Linked DNA regions of Kluyveromyces lactis. The protein of the gene in region 5 binds, or shares a complex with, the protein of the main gene of each other region. Links are inferred from orthologs where the notes say so. Each region holds a gene or a part of one and is shown on either strand. Other genes may lie near its edges. The genes, in order: SHS1, CDC3, CDC11, CDC12 and BNI5.

The links.
Region 1: BNI5 (region 5) and SHS1 share a complex: the UniProt entries of both Saccharomyces cerevisiae proteins name them as parts of the GIN4 complex. The link is inferred for Kluyveromyces lactis from reciprocal best matches to the Saccharomyces cerevisiae genes BNI5 and SHS1.
Region 2: BNI5 (region 5) and CDC3 share a complex: the UniProt entries of both Saccharomyces cerevisiae proteins name them as parts of the GIN4 complex. The link is inferred for Kluyveromyces lactis from reciprocal best matches to the Saccharomyces cerevisiae genes BNI5 and CDC3.
Region 3: BNI5 (region 5) and CDC11 share a complex: the UniProt entries of both Saccharomyces cerevisiae proteins name them as parts of the GIN4 complex. The link is inferred for Kluyveromyces lactis from reciprocal best matches to the Saccharomyces cerevisiae genes BNI5 and CDC11.
Region 4: BNI5 (region 5) and CDC12 share a complex: the UniProt entries of both Saccharomyces cerevisiae proteins name them as parts of the GIN4 complex. The link is inferred for Kluyveromyces lactis from reciprocal best matches to the Saccharomyces cerevisiae genes BNI5 and CDC12.

The regions. Positions count from the first base shown.
Region 1 is NC_006042.1:1,938,293-1,941,864, reverse strand, and holds SHS1 (septin SHS1), read right to left. Parts: upstream 2,177-3,572; coding exon 521-2,176; downstream 1-520. Other genes in the region: GCR2 (Gcr2p), read left to right, coding at 3,029-3,572. UniProt on the Saccharomyces cerevisiae protein: Septins are GTPases involved in cytokinesis that assemble early in the cell cycle as a patch at the incipient bud site and form a ring approximately 15 minutes before bud emergence, which transforms into an hour-glass shaped collar of cortical filaments that spans both sides of the mother-bud neck.
Region 2 is NC_006040.1:348,277-351,691, reverse strand, and holds CDC3 (septin CDC3), read left to right. Parts: upstream 1-1,413; coding exon 1,414-2,901; downstream 2,902-3,415. Other genes in the region: HIF1 (Hif1p), read right to left, coding at 1-716. UniProt on the Saccharomyces cerevisiae protein: Septins are GTPases involved in cytokinesis that assemble early in the cell cycle as a patch at the incipient bud site and form a ring approximate 15 minutes before bud emergence, which transforms into an hour-glass shaped collar of cortical filaments that spans both sides of the mother-bud neck.
Region 3 is NC_006038.1:1,258,284-1,261,278, forward strand, and holds CDC11 (septin CDC11), read right to left. Parts: upstream 1,787-2,995; coding exon 524-1,786; downstream 1-523. Other genes in the region: TRP3 (bifunctional anthranilate synthase/indole-3-glycerol-phosphate synthase), read left to right, coding at 2,443-2,995. UniProt on the Saccharomyces cerevisiae protein: Septins are GTPases involved in cytokinesis that assemble early in the cell cycle as a patch at the incipient bud site and form a ring approximate 15 minutes before bud emergence, which transforms into an hour-glass shaped collar of cortical filaments that spans both sides of the mother-bud neck.
Region 4 is NC_006041.1:1,924,703-1,927,769, reverse strand, and holds CDC12 (septin CDC12), read right to left. Parts: upstream 1,710-3,067; coding exon 525-1,709; downstream 1-524. Other genes in the region: KLLA0_E21605g (thioredoxin-disulfide reductase), read left to right, coding at 1-83; TRP4 (anthranilate phosphoribosyltransferase), read left to right, coding at 2,189-3,067. UniProt on the Saccharomyces cerevisiae protein: Septins are GTPases involved in cytokinesis that assemble early in the cell cycle as a patch at the incipient bud site and form a ring approximate 15 minutes before bud emergence, which transforms into an hour-glass shaped collar of cortical filaments that spans both sides of the mother-bud neck.
Region 5 is NC_006040.1:682,531-685,237, forward strand, and holds BNI5 (Bni5p), read left to right. Parts: upstream 1-1,201; coding exon 1,202-2,200; downstream 2,201-2,707. Other genes in the region: KLLA0_D07964g (uncharacterized protein), read right to left, coding at 1-748; DNA-directed RNA polymerase core subunit RPC10, read left to right, coding at 2,468-2,680. UniProt on the Saccharomyces cerevisiae protein: Required for normal septin function and cytokinesis. Its recruitment to the bud neck by CDCd11 and SHS1 ensures efficient localization at the bud neck of MYO1, the type II myosin of the actomyosin contractile ring.

The DNA.
Region 1 (3,572 bases), on a different chromosome or scaffold from region 5:
TATTTTGCAACCATTTTTCAATTCGGTTAAATCTCTTTTCCTATTATTTCCCCCAGTGCCTTTTCTCATCGTCGCTGAATGAATGTTGTTTCTTGATGTTTTTAATTGCCATCGGGAACATTATTTTGCATTTTTCGGTTTTCTTAGTTCTCTCCAGTTACACTAGCTATTTTTTATCTTGAAGCACTGGATGAACATAAATTTTTCACCAATCTTTTTTATCTCATAATACTATGTCATCTGAACAGATAAATTCCATTTATTGATAAGTGGCACGAAAATACCTTAACTCATTATTATATTATATATATATATATACCTGTAACAGTACGTATATTTTTCTGATTTTTACATCACCATCTTAAACTCATCAAATTTGGAAACAGGTAGCAGATCAATCTAGACGTGACCGTTTGCAATATACAAAATAATCAATATTGTTTAAATTACATATGAAATCGTTTCAGGAACCAAACACTTCGACTTACAAAAATGCCAAAGAAAGATATCAAGACTGAATTCATTCTTTTTTGCTGATTATCGAAGCTAAATCGTTATAGGTTTCCTCTTTCTTAATGTAAGCACCTCCAGAAGTTGAATTTTGTTTAGTTGTATTAGTCTGGATAGATTCTTGAGATTGACTATGTGAGTTTTGTCTTAGTAGCTTTTCCTTCATCTTCAATTCAATAGCCTTTCTTTCAAGTTCTTGAATTCTCTTTTGTAACTCTTTGGCAGATTGTGCCTCCAATTCTTCAAGCTTTTGTTTCCTTGCTACTATGCGCTCGTGCTGAAGCATGTATGGGATATTTTCGGAAATATTCCGTAACTTTGTTCTTTCTGGAGAAGTTTGAATATTGGCAGGAGTAGATTTCTGTGAACTGGCAGAGATTGAAGCGCGAGACTCATCTCCTTCATCTACCCCGGTTAGACGTGGTGTAGATGGGGTTTCAGATTGAGGTGGAATTGCAAGTGATTGTTGAGACTTAAACTTTCCTGTATTTATTAGAGAGGCGAAATTTGACAAGGATGGAGCTGTACTGTTTCTAGTCAACCCTTTCATCAACCCTGAAGAATTACCCTCATTGTTTTCGTCATTGATAGAAGTATCTATAACTTCGTTGTTTTCAATGTCCCAGGCTGGCACAGACGCCAATTTCTCAGCACGGTAGTTTTCATACAACAGATTTTGTGTCGTGTCCTTAAACTCTTGCAAATGGGACCCGAAGAGAACCCTTTTCAACAATTTCAAGTCCGAAATGTTTTCATTATCGATGTCAATTTTACCCCATGGATACTCACGATAGTATTTACCGGTAGCATTATCGCGTTGGTCGGCGCAGATAATAGCAAACGGCTGAAGTCTCGCTAATGCCTTGTTCTCTTCAATTGTTTCTAGATCATCCTCATTTTCGTCAACTTCGAATTTGTAGATAGGAACGTTAAATCTATCAATGTCTTCCATAATTCTCTTCTTGAACCTAGTCAATTCATCAGGTGTGAACGAATCTGCTCTAGCGACAATTGGTAGAACATTTGTGTAGCGGGATAGTCTCTTCATAATTTCAACATCCAATTCACGTAACCCATGTCCCGTGGGTTCAATAAAGTATAACGCGACATGAACTCTTGTATCCTGGAACCTTGGATTTCTCTTGATTCTGGTCTCCTCAGCGAGTACCGAATCAAATTGTTGCTCCAAATATGAAGCAATCTCATCGAAACAGATCCCATTATTTAAGTTTTCACCCAGTCCCAGGGTGTCGGTGAGAAAGAAATTGATCTTTTCAGGGGTAGCGCTATCGATATCCTCACTAGATTTCGTCGTGATCTCCAGGGCAGTAGACGTCACAGTGATACCTGGTTCCAAAAACGGCGAGGCTGGATCAAATGCCGACATGTAGCTGGGAATACCGTTCATCGAATTGAACGTGACAACCTTAGTTGGTTGGATAATCTTAACATTCTCGTTATTCGTGCTAGCTGGAACATCTTGTTGATATCTATGAGGGAAAATGGTAGATTCCAATAAATTGTTAGCGAAAGTGGTCTTACCAGTACCAGAAGCACCAACCAACATCATCGAGAAAGTAATACCTCTCTTCTCCTTCTTTCTACGGAACACACTGACCCCATTGTTGCTTGGTGAGAATACCTGAGATACAGGACTAGCGGACATCTTTTTATTGCTTCCAAGATCAAACGGCTTCACTTTTCACTTCCAATTATATTCTAAATAGAATCGCCAAAGTACAATGATTCCTATCCAATTGATTGAAACTCGTCTCGTTCAATGGTTCACTTGATTAATGTAGCTCTGCAACGTATAGAATACACTTTTTTTATCAAAAGACGTTGTTGTTTCAGTCAAATTACATTCTCGTCTAAATTTAAATATGGAATTGATATCTTTTACGTGATATTAACCGTTTCGAAACTTTTCACCGATTAAAAGGCTCGAACATAGCCATGGGAAATGAGACACTCAAAGATACCTAAGGCAAGGACAAAAGTTACCAGTGACATGGGAACATCAAATGGTTACAGTTCGATGAACCACATATCGTAACTAGTCTATGTATTGGGGAACTAAGGCATATATACATATATATGGCGCCACTTCTTCACGTGACTTATATTTCTGTCTCAGTGATGTGAATGTATATGTCCGTCAGTGGATTACGTTATAAGTTGATAACGATCTTCGATCTAGGTCCGGCTAGCTTTGGTACTGCCTTGGTCTACATATGAAAGGCTTCGGATTTTAGCCCTTGCAGAAGGGCTCTATGTGTTCAATGAGATGCGTCTTTGTTTTGCAATTTTGTCGCTTTTAGTTCTTGCTAGAACATAAGGTGATGCAATGTGGAAATGTTGCACCTTAACGAAACGAAAGATAGAGAGAAAGAGAGAAAGAAATACACAGTAAGCGAGAAAATCTGCGGAAGCGGCAGCATACTTAAGGTCTTTGAACTGCTTGTTACGGACTTCAAAGATCGGCCCTCCCCTGCTACGTACACATACTGGAAGAGCCATGTCTGATATCGGGAGCACTTCACATAGTAGTCCGACAGGCATCATGCATCATCAGATCAAGCTCGACGTATTTTTGATCAAGGGTTACCAATTGATATCCAACGGAGAAGTCTTGGAGCTTCCCGAGCTATTGAATTCCACGATTAGTCCGAATCAGCAATCTCCTATATCGCTGAAACCCTTGGACGAACGTCATATGCAATATTTCCAAAGTCTCTCACAACTTTACGATGCTCTAGTGACAATCGTACCCTTAGATGAACAATCGAACGTACCCAAATCAAATATCGAATTGTTTCAGCGATTTCAACAGATATTGAAAGAGATATTGCTAAGTTATGACGTGAGCCCGTACAATCGGTATTTTTTGAAGTTGGATGAGAACAACTGGAAGATACGGGATAACGTGGACGATCCTCTATGGCAGGTATTATCTTTCAACATCGACAAAGTCTACGACAAGACAACGGGGTTAATAACACCGTTGAGGAGGCCAGGGAAAAGTACCACTGCGTCTGCTAGGGAATCGCCCGTGCTTGCCC
Region 2 (3,415 bases), about 330 kb from region 5:
TTCAAACATTCTTCGAAATCATGAGAAGCCTGAGAGAAATTTTCGCATTCTAGTGAGACTTCACCCAACAGGTCATAACATTCAGATAGTTTTAATTTTAGATCCTCGTTGTCTGGTGTTTCTTTCAAACTGGATTCATAGTATGACCTTGCAAGCTCTAGAATCTCCCATGCGTTTTCGAAATCATCTTTGTCAACTTCCTCTTGGCCTTCGACTTGATCTTCTTCCTCTTGCTCCTGATCTTGTTTTTGTTCTTCCTCTTCCTCTTCCTCCTCCTCCTCCTCCTCCTCCTCTTCCTCTTCCTCTTCCTCTTCCTCTTCCTCCTCCTCTTCTTCTTCTTCTTCTTCACCAAATTGAATCAGCCCAGGTCCTTTCGAGGCAGAATCATCTTCGTCTTGTTCTTCGTTATGTTCATCCCTCTTAACATTAGATCCCATACCAAAGACATCAGACCTGCTCAAAGCCAATTGGTACAATGCCTTACCATACAAAAACAAATATTCAGGGTTTGGATTCTCATTCTCACTGTCATACAATTGATTTAAATCTGCATAAGAATCGACTGCAAGTTCATAATTCTTACCAGCATAGTGCTTGGCTCCTTCTGTCAATAATTTATCAAACTTGTCCGACATTTTAGATTCAATTCTACGATAATGGACTGAAATTGTTAAACAATTGATTTGCAGTGTGTGATTGCTAACAGCAGCAATCATTAAAACACGCAAACAATTTAAATAATGCACAGAGACGCGTAATATTCATCGCATTGCGCAATTGCTTAAAATACATGTCGTTATCAAAGAAATCAAACCGGTGAATCCAAATCACGTGATTGATTTAAAACTTGTGTAAATTTACAATAACCGGGTAACTGTTGACACGTGACTTAGGAATTCTTACGCCTCGAATCTAAAACACCTTGCTTGAATACCGTTCCATTGCAATGGACTCTACACTGAAAGAAAAAGACAAAGGCCGTAAATACTAGCCAATATATACATCCAAAAATAGGGCAGATGATATTGAAGCCAAATCAACTAAAGGAGACTTGCTTAAAGTAGTTTTACGTCTGTATGTACTTCTTATTTCTGTGCCTATTCAGTATCTTATTTTTGCTTCTTTTCTTCCTTTTCTATATTGACAGATCGATGTCTCGAAGAAATTTACAAAGAACGCGATTTAAAACCTAAACCACAAATATAGAAATTTAAATCGAGTAGATTATCTGGTTTATTATTTATAATTTTATACACGTAAATTCGGTTTTGATCTGGATCAACAGCATACACAGGTGTCAAGTCTTACTTTGAAAGTTGTTTAAAAGCCTCGGTTTAGGAGTGCATTGAATATCAGGCTAGCCAACAACCATAGCAGTGTGTGAAAGAAAACTGGAAAATATTATTATCCACAATGGCAGAAGTTATTAACGATACAGTCAAGTCAGAAGCTATTTCATTGAAGCATGAGGACTCCGTAGCTACTGGATTGGACAGCGTGAATCAAGACAACAATGTTGAGCAGACTTTTTCAGATGCAAATGGTGATGAAATCGCGCCAGCTGTGCAAGAATCAAATGGTACATTGGGCCAAGTTTTGCCCGATCAGCCAAACCTCAAGGTTGTTCGTCGTATCATCAATGGATACGTGGGCTTTGCTAATTTACCCAAACAATGGCATAGAAAGTCAATTCGTCGTGGATTCAACCTGAATTTGTTATGTGTTGGTTACAAAGGGTTGGGTAAATCTACGTTGATAAATACGTTGTTCAACAGAGAGTTGTACGAGCAAGACGCTCTATCCCATGGAGTACAGTCTTTAGATTTGGGTGATGGTAATGGCAACGATGTCAGTGTCAAGAAGGAAAATGGTGAAAACGGTCCAGCAGAAGAAAACAAAGTCAAGATCGAAACCGTTTCAGCTGAAATCGAAGAAAATGGAGTGAAATTGCAATTGACCGTGGTTGATGCACCAGGATTTGGTGATTCTATTGATAACACAGATTCATGGAAGCCAATTGTGGATGAAATAAATCGTAGATTCGACCAATATCTCGAGTCTGAAAACAAGATTCAAAGAACTACTTTGCAAGATAACAGGATTCATGCTTGTCTCTACTTTATCGAACCTACTGGTCATGGTTTGAAGCCGTTGGATTTGGAATTCTGCAAGCAGGTTCATTCCAAATGTAACTTGATCCCCGTTATCGCCAAATCTGACATCTTAACTGACGAAGAAATTGTCACTTTCAAAGCCACCATCAAGAAACAACTAGAACAAGCCAACGTGCAGTTGTTTGAACCACCTCAATATTCTATGCTGGGAGATGAAACTTCAACTGAAAACATCTTTGAAAAGATTCCTTTTGCCATTGTCGGTTCCACTGAACAAGTCACTACAGAAGACGGTAGAAAAGTTAGAGGTAGGGCTTACCCATGGGGTGTCATCGAAGTTGACAACACAAAACATTCTGATTTTGTATATTTAAGAGATCTATTAATTAGACAATACTTGGAAGAATTACGCGAAAGGACTAACAAAGTATTATACGAAAAATATAGATCTGAAAAGCTATTAGGATTGGGTATCAAACAAGACAACAGTGTCTTCAAGAATTTCGATCCAGAAACTAGACAAAAGGAGGAAAAACAACTACACGAAGTCAAACTAGCTAAATTGGAAGCTGAAATGAAGGCAGTATTCCAACAGAAAGTTGAAGAAAAGGAAAAGAAGTTACAGAAATCTGAAGCTGAATTGTTCGCTAGACACAAGGAATTGAAGGATAAGCTTACAAGCCAACTAAAAGCGTTAGAAGAAAAGAAGCGTCAACTTGAACTTTCCCTTGCTAACCAACCAACAAGCTCTCCAATTCCTGCTAAGAAGAAAGGCTTCTTACGTTAAGAAATGAGTAAGATGATAAATATAGTATAGTCTTCGTGAACTTCATCTGTATTTCACAAGATCTCCAGACATGTCTTTATTTTCTTTACATCCGTCTATCTTTTATCTAAATGTATAACTACGAATCTCAATAACTAAGCCAGCTGAAGCTAACTAATCAACACAATGTCAACGAGTGTAATGCATCACCATACAGTACATGTAACAAAGCAAAACGGTTAAGTGCCCAGCTAGCTGCGACACAACTAACGTAAATTTTGTGGGTCTGTTAATGCGGTTAAATCAAGGTAATTCGCACAGTTTAGTAGGGAGATTTCGACTTGCCTTTTTTCTGTCGCTTTCGGTCGTTGAGAGATTACTGCTGTACTCGACTCTTTTACTAAAGCCCAAGAGGGAAAAAAAAAAAGGAAAGTCAATAAAGGTAAAGAAATATGTATGTGGATGTAGTAAGTGCAACTCAGTATGATAATATGTAAGCGTTCAGCATAAATCTCTCGAAATACTTATATAAAGA
Region 3 (2,995 bases), on a different chromosome or scaffold from region 5:
CAGAGTGCGCCCAAGCTCTACTAAAAACTGGGCAATTAAAAGACTTTCCTCGTCACTTAAACGAATATCTGTTGTCCCTATCTGGTTACTCATCATCTAAAAGCTTTTCCATCCCACATCTTCATACATGATGTTTTCTTGTCAGAACACGGCACACGCCTCCTGGCATGCTGTGTGAGATAATGTAAAGGAGATTTACTAGGTCATGGTACACCTGGTATCCCTGGTACCCCTGGTACTACCCATTTGGTGCTCAGAAGCCATCCTTCTACCGTCTTTTTCGTCTTATTTTCGGCCTCGAAGTAAGTGGCTTTTATATGGTTTTCGTTCGGGAATTTTTTTCTTAAATGAATGAGGTTTTGCTTGATCGTTAGGGCATCGATAAAGTGTAGCACACGACTAGCAGCCAGTAGCCTGAAATGGTTCGTAATGCTTTATCTATCTTATGGTAATAACTGAGGTATAGGTTAAAGAAAGAAACGAAATATGTAGTTCTATTTAGTGTGCAGGAAGGGACAACAACTTATTGTTCCAATTTGATTCCTTCCTGTTTCAATTGGGCTTCCTTTTCTAGCCTCTCTTCGATTTCTCTTAATTCTTGCTCTCTTTGCAGCAATTCCTGTCTCTTCAATTGCAATTCTTGTTGCACTCTTTCTTCGAAAACCCTTAATCTTTCTTCTTCTAGCTTGATTTGTTCTTCTCTTGCCAAGTAAGTGTCCTGGTTCGATGACGCGTTGTTAGAATGTAAAGAAGTCGAATCATTGTTCCCCAACGCAGATGGTAATCCATTGCCCCTCACAGATTCTCTACCAGATACAGCGGGTGATCCTAGGTATTCGTTGTTCGTGGTGCTGAAAGCTCTGTTATGAGTCGTAGTTCCTACAGTTGGCATCTCACCGGACAAGGCTTCAGTTCTGTATCTTTCGTATAGGATCTCATGAGTAAATTCCTTCATATCGTGTAAATGTGAAATGAGTAGAGTGTTCCTTAGGACGACGAAATCAGAGATGTTAGCATCCTCGACGTCAAGGGTTCCCCATGGATATTTTCTACCACGAATCACGGACCCGTCTGCAGATTCAAACACATCGTTGGAACCGATGATAGAGAAGGGCAGTAAACCTCTGAGATATGTGTTTGTTTGATAATCTTCGTCTGACGCGTCTTCCTCATCGAATGGGAAGTTGTAGATAGGTAGCGAATAATAGTCGATATCCTTTGCGATCAATTTCTTGTTCAATTTCAACTCTTCAGCGGTCAAGGAATCTGCTTTACTGATAACGGGGATCACGTTCACTAGAGTACCTAGTCTTCTGATGAATTCCACGTCAATCTCTTTCAATCCATGTCCAGTAGGATTGATCAAATATAAACAACAATGCACCCTACCATCTTTAAACCGAGGATTTCTCCTTACACGGCTCTCTTCCAACAAAATTTCATCGTACTGGTGACGAATGTAATCAGAGATAATGTCAAACGATGGAGAATTATCCAAAGAGTCGCCGAATCCCGGAGTATCAATGATATTCAATTGGATCTTAAGACCTTCTTCGTCTTCTAACTCAACGATTTCTTCCCTCAATTGCACATCAATCTGCGTATTTGTGTCCGTTGGTAACATAATCGTGGTAGAAGTATCTACCACTTTCTGTCCACATAGAGTGTTAATGAACGTCGACCTACCGCACCCAGACTGACCAACAACCATCACCGTGAACTGAATTCCTCTCTTCAAGTTCTTCCGTTTACGCAAAGCGGCAGATGCCTGAATAATACTTGCCATTTCTGTCTAAATTACAATTGTAGCAGTGCTTTTGTTTCCCAATTCAATACCCCGACAGAAATTAGGTGCTAATAAGACCTCTGAGCAGCTCTTCTGTTAATTGTGTTGTTTACGTGTTAGTTGTTTGTTTAAAGTTTCACGTTTCCGATCTGATTCTAAATTCGTTACTCTGAGGAATCTGGAATTTAGTATGGAGGAAACAGAGAAAGAGTAGGTATTCGACGGTGAAAGAGCATTTGATGGATGATAGAGGGGCTCAGCTAATTGAACAGAGGTTATAGATTGTTACTTGGAAGTCAGATTACGGAATAATCAATCCAGCGATGCACAATTGCCTTAAGAATGTGGATTTGAATGTTGACACATCCGTACATCACATACATATTTATCATTTAGGACGAAATTCGATTCAATTTCTCATTTCATCAAAGCTTTCTCTTGACTCATCTCGAATTGTGATGTGGAACCAGTTAATCATCTCATGTTCAAGACGATTTTATATTTAAAGGAACCCTTAAAGGGCATTGAAATAATTGTAAGAAGAAACTTTCGATAATTTCTTATCGATTGGTTATATTTGGTTGATAATTATCTAGTAGGGCAACTACACTATACTGTGATAAAAAGGAACTAGGTTTTCGCATTAATTTGATATCATGTCCGCTAAAAGAGTTGTTTTGATCGATAACTACGATTCGTTCACCTGGAACATCTATGAATATCTTTGCACTGAGGGTGCTGAAGTTTTAGTTTTCAGAAATGATAAGATTACTGTGGAAGAAGTTGAAGCATTGAACCCTGATATTGTCATGATTTCACCGGGTCCAGGTCATCCAGAGACCGATTCCGGGATATCAAGAGACTGTATCGCATTCTTCTGCGGCAAAGTCCCTGTGTTTGGTGTCTGCATGGGTCAGCAATGTATGTTTGATGTCTTTGGCGGTGAAGTTAGCTTTGCTGGAGAAATTGTTCATGGTAAGACTTCACCAATATTCCATGATGGAAAAGGTTTCTTTAGAAAAGTACCTCAAGGTGTCGCAGTGACGCGGTACCATTCGCTTGCTGGCGCCAAGGAAACACTTCCTGATGTGCTTGAAGTTAGTGCAAGAACGGAGACTGGAATTATTATGGGTGTGAGACATAAGAAATACACTGTGGAAGGTGTGCAATTCCATCCAGAATCTATCTTGACCGAGAGTGGGCATCAAA
Region 4 (3,067 bases), on a different chromosome or scaffold from region 5:
GATACAGACAAGCAATCACATCTGCTGGTTCCGGTTGTATGGCTGCTTTGGATGCTGAAAAGTACATCACTGAATTAGAATAGATACACATTGATAAATTTGGTGAGATTCCCATATCAAAGCTTTGATATTATGTCTATATCTTATATATAAATATCATCGCGACTACTCCTTTAATTGAAATTTATGTTTGTTCCTAGTTTCTCAGCAGGAGGAAGATTTTCTTTCATTAGTCTATAAGGCTCACCTTTCCACCGCTAGTCCAATATCTTCTATACTCTCCCTTCCGAGTAGAGAAAAAAAGAATAAATAATGATAACATATCATCTTTACAGCTTATATTGATATATAGGAAAGATCAATAGAAAGTAGTTTAAAATAACAACTGTGTGGACATCGTTCTACAAGGTTCAGAAATGGCATTATTCAATGAGAATAATGTGAGAATGGAAAATAACATAAAAATTGGGTTGTTAAAAGGAATATAAATGGGAATGAAAAAAACAATTTCGAACCATTACACCCTAGCGTTTTCTTAATTTCAATGTGGCCACTTGATCTTCTAATTTCTTTACTTCGGCTTGAATCTTTTCCAAATCACCGTTCAGTTTAATTCTTTCATTCACAATGTTTTGTTCCCACTGTCTGAATCTTTGTTCTTCGGCCTTAACTTGATCAGTGAAGTATTTTTTTAGTGCGTTTTCTTCTTCTTTGAACTTTGGATTATGTGATAATTTTCTTGCTGGTGCAGCAACGAAGTTGTTCGCCGATTTTTCTCCTAGTTCGTTATCGTTAGACGATCCATTCAAATGAGATTCCAAACGTAATCTCCTATAGGTTTCGTAATGTAGCTCTTGAGTGGATAAGACAAGATCTAACAGATTTGTTCTCAACAACAACGATCTCAATTTGCGGAAATCACAGTGTTGATCATTCTCTACTTCCACTAACCCCCATGGATATTTTCTTGCAACAACTTTGGTACCACTACCGTTATCGAATTGTTCTTCTGAACCAACAATTGCAAATGGCATGGATTCAATTAGTTGTCTAGCATGTTCCATAGCGGCTGCATCATCCTGTGTCTCATTCAAAGGTGGTGTAAAGATACGAATCTCTTGTGCCTCAATGACCTGTCTAATTCTAAGCTTGAAATCTTGTAATTCCTGACTTGTCAAAGTATCAGCCTTGGCGATTACGGGAATTAAGTTAGCACGAGTGCTGATCCTCTTCATAGTTTCAATATCCAATGGTTTCAAACCATGTCCTGTAGGTCTGATAAAGTACAGTACAGCGTGTACTCTTAGATCAAATTTCACATCTCTGTATGGTTGTTGTTCTTGACGCATATAGGAATCGTGTTGATCGTCTATAAAATCAATGATCTGTTGCCACGATTTATCGTTATTGATGTTGTCACCAAACCCGGGAGTATCAATTACATTCACCTTCAAGGTAAAATTCTTCTCCTCTAGTTCTGCACGTAATATATCAATCTCCACGGTCTTCCTAATTGGCCCTTGCATCGAACGGCCTGTATGGGAGTCAGATGGCTTCAATGTTGCCTGGAACAACGTATTTATGAAGGTAGTTTTACCCAAACCACTTTCACCGCATGTTAACAAGGTGAATACTCCACCTTGTTTGGATACCAGCTTGTAGATCTGATTTGGTAAATTCGAGATTCCTACAAATTCTTCCGTGGTCATTGTTTCAAAGTTCCGTTGCAATTAATTGGTACCAATTATACTATCTTTTGCTGAAGCACACAATGTTATATTTGCTAATGAACAGAAGGTCAGATTGTTACTGCAGGTAGCTACGATAACTCCTGTAAACAAACTGTAATTCCAATTTCAATTTTAATATAGGCTTGTTTTAGCCAGTATTCTATATTTGAACAAAGTTTCGAATTGTTTCGTGTCGAGGAATCCTAGGTTCCCAGGAACATTTCAGAGATCTCTCGAGCAAAGAAGGGTAGGGTAATGAGAAGCGAGTCACGTGCTTTCCAATGTATATTCTGTTATTTCTCGAACCGTGGATCTATATAGTCATTAACATATATCAAACTGGTACATAGAAAGATAATCACTTTGCGTTAAATAACGGCAAATCTACTCTCACTGCTAAGTAGTGCCTTCCTACCTTTAAGGTATCGCTGTGTTACCAGCTTCTACATTTTGTAACTATGAGTATTATTTCCTTTACGAAGAAGCTTTTGAAGAGCCCGCCTAGTTTGACTCCTGCAGAATTGCACGAAGTTATCGTTTACATAATTGATACGCTATCGAAGGAATTTACTGTGGAAGCTGTGGTACCGATTGCCTCTTTCCTTTCAGTGTTGAGAGCAACTGGATTGGATCACAAAGCTGAATATATTGCAGCTGCTGCCTCGGCTGTGTTGAAGTTTTCAACTGTTGTCGATTCAACGACCTTGACTCATACTGATGATATTGTCTTAGATATCGTCGGTACAGGTGGTGACGGCCAAAACACTTTTAACGTGTCTACTTCTGCAGCCATTGTCGCTTCGGGCATCCCAGGCTTGAAGGTTTGTAAACATGGTGGGAAAGCATCGACTTCCAATTCAGGTGCTGGTGATTTGATCGGAGTTTTAGGTTGTGATTCATCTAAGGTGACTGCGTCGACTTTACCTAAAATTTGGGATGAAAATTCGTTCACATTTCTATTGGCTCCTTATTTCCATGACGGTATGAAACATGTCGCTCTGCTCAGGAAAGCATTGGGTATCCCAACAATATTTAATGTCTTGGGACCGTTATTGCATCCTGTATCCCATGTTCAAAAAAGAGTTCTAGGTGTCTTCTCCAAGGAATTGGCACCTGAGTATGCAGAAGCAGCAAGACTTATCTATCCTGACAGTGAAACATTCGTCGTTTGGGGTGAAGTTGGTCTCGATGAAGTATCACCTGTAGGGAACACTATTGTTTGGCATGTGACCTTGAATGGTACCGTCGAATCATTCTCTATAAACCCGTCAGATTTCGGTTTACAAGAGCATACTCTTGCAGAATGCCCATCGTTGGGCCCTCGCGAGAATGCAAGG
Region 5 (2,707 bases):
AATGTGGAACTTGATCATCCAAGATCACCAATTTCAAATCGTTTGCACCAAAGACAGACGTATATCCTGTTGTTCCAATCCATCTGAGATTCAATAAGGAATCAGTAATAGGTTCATAGACTTGACAATCAGTGTTCCTTCGTCCAATGCTATTCATCATCAAAACTGAGCATCTGATCCCATCAGGTTGGAAGCACACGAATTTATGGTATACAATCCCTTCACTATTGATAACGTTCCGGAAAACGTTACAAAATTCAACTTTGAAAAGAGACCTTTTCTCGTTTTGATGAAGAAGCTCTTTATTGGGCTCCTTGATATCATCGACTTTATCGTTATCAACCACCTTGTATTTGTAAATTTTGGACACTGGGGTGCTTTTCCTGAAATATGATTTGAACCCTACAGAAACGTAATGAAATAATGGCCACCCTTTACCGGAATCTAAGCATTTATCAAGTTTCCTACGGTTGGAAATAAATGTATCAAACGTGTCTTGATTTTCCCACGCAAAAAAACCCTTAGAAAGCATAACTGAAGCAAATATAACGGTTCTATTACTGGCAAATCGAGGGCTTCGATTCACAAAACCCAGCCGTTCGAAATCTCCAATGGTACTTGATTCAGAAAACACAGATTCCATTTCCCCTGGTGTAGAATGCGGGAAAGACATTAACGTGTTCTGATCATCTGCGTTAGATCTAGAATCCTGATTGTTTTGGCCATATCTCGATCGAAATCTATTCATAACGGTGTTTTCTAGTCATGCAATGACTCTTCTCTGGAAGATCTATACTCAGTAAAATTGAAACAAAAAGAAAAACCTTTCCACTCACTTTTAATAGGTATATCTGCCAGCAATTATATATTTATACGGCAATCCTGAAGTACCTTGAATACCACCTTCAAGATACCAATATAGTACCCAAAAAATGTGTCAAGTTGAAGAGAAGAAGGAGAAATATGCAGGTTTCCTTAAAATTGGGATCTAAGTCTCTTTTCTTATTTACATATAAACTGCCATACTGTGAAAAAATTCAAAAACTAAACAATATAAACAAAGGAAAAAGGAAACTTCCAGTCACCAATACGTGTATGTGTTAATAAAAGGCGTTTGTACTAGTAGTTGACGAGTTGAAGCGTATCAGTGGCAGAATAAAAGTGTCACATTGTTGATAGTGGCGTCCTATTTTTTTCAATTATGGATTCAGAGCAGGTAAAGAAACGAATGTCTCAAATTGAGTTAGAGATAAGTGAGATGAACGAGATGATAGATAAGAACTTGAGCATTCATGAGACCACGGTTAAGACGAAACAGGATGTTTCTTCTGACGATCAAGATGAGGATTACTTAGAGTTGCAGAAGCTAACGGCGAACCAGGTTGATCAATTTGTGCAGAATGCTATTAAAAGCGATGGGGAGGACGAGGTACCGGAAACACTAAGTAGTGGCAGAGAGACGGCACTACAAGCGGAAGAGCGAGAAGACATAAAAGAGGAGAAACCAGGTACTCAATTAGAGGCAGCAGTAGTGGCAGAAGTGGTGGCAGAAGTACAAACTGAACCAACTGCTGAGAAAGCTATTCCCGCTGTTTCCGTAACCTCTGTTCCAGCGAAGAGAATACCTTCTGAGAAGATCGAAGTCTCCACCAGCACAGAAGAGGATGAAGCAGCAGCAGCAGCTACGATTGTACCTAACACTGATAAATCAAGTACATACCCTGCTCCTGCAGCAATCGGCCATACTCAGAACGGAACCGTCCCTCGTGCACCAAACACTGACTCAAGCAACATACCTACTTCACCACGTATACTCACGCCGAAGAGCAACCCGTTCCGCGTAGTACATGTTGGTAGCCAACCAAGCTCCCGTAACGCATCGAGAAACAGCTCTAGGGTCTCAAGCACTTCCTCAGATATTTCAGACATAAACTTTGAACAATTACAGCAAAATTACAACTCACTCTCGGTCAAATGTACCAAACTACAAAAAGAAATCGATTACCTCCACAAATTTAAAAACGAAAGTACCTTAACGCTCGAAGACAGACGCAAACTGATCACTGCCATCGAAAAATTGCAAGAATACCTCGACAAGAAAAACAAACAACGTTACGATACAGGTGTAATATTATCCCGTCAAATAAGGAAAAACGTAGATATGGGGGCCAATGGCCAATTTTGGGTAGGAAGGTCGTAACCTGGAAATCTCGTACTACATACATACATACGTTCATTCGTGTCTATATAAATGTGTGTGTATTTCTATGCATCCTTTAAGTATTACCCTACCGTGTATTTCCAAAAGAAATTCTTCTGACCTTAGTAAGAAATTTGAATTGACAAGCTCATCATAGGAATCAGAAGCTTTGACTGAAACATACTGTCTCGGATACGAGAGTTATCCTCCGATAGTCGAGTCAGTGAGTGCGTTTGTGGCCCCAATAGTTTAAGAGTAAGTGTCAAGATGTCCCGTGAAGGTTTCCAAATCCCAACGAATTTAGATGCTGCTGCTGCTGGTGCAGCTCAGAGCAGAACTGCCACTTTGAAATACATCTGCGCAGAGTGTTCAAGCAGACTTTCGCTTTCCAGAACTGATCCCGTCCGTTGCAAGAATTGCGGTCACCGTATCCTACTCAAGGCCAGAACCAAGAGAATGGTCCAGTTCGAAGCCAGGTAAACCTGTTCCCATTCCATCACATAAACT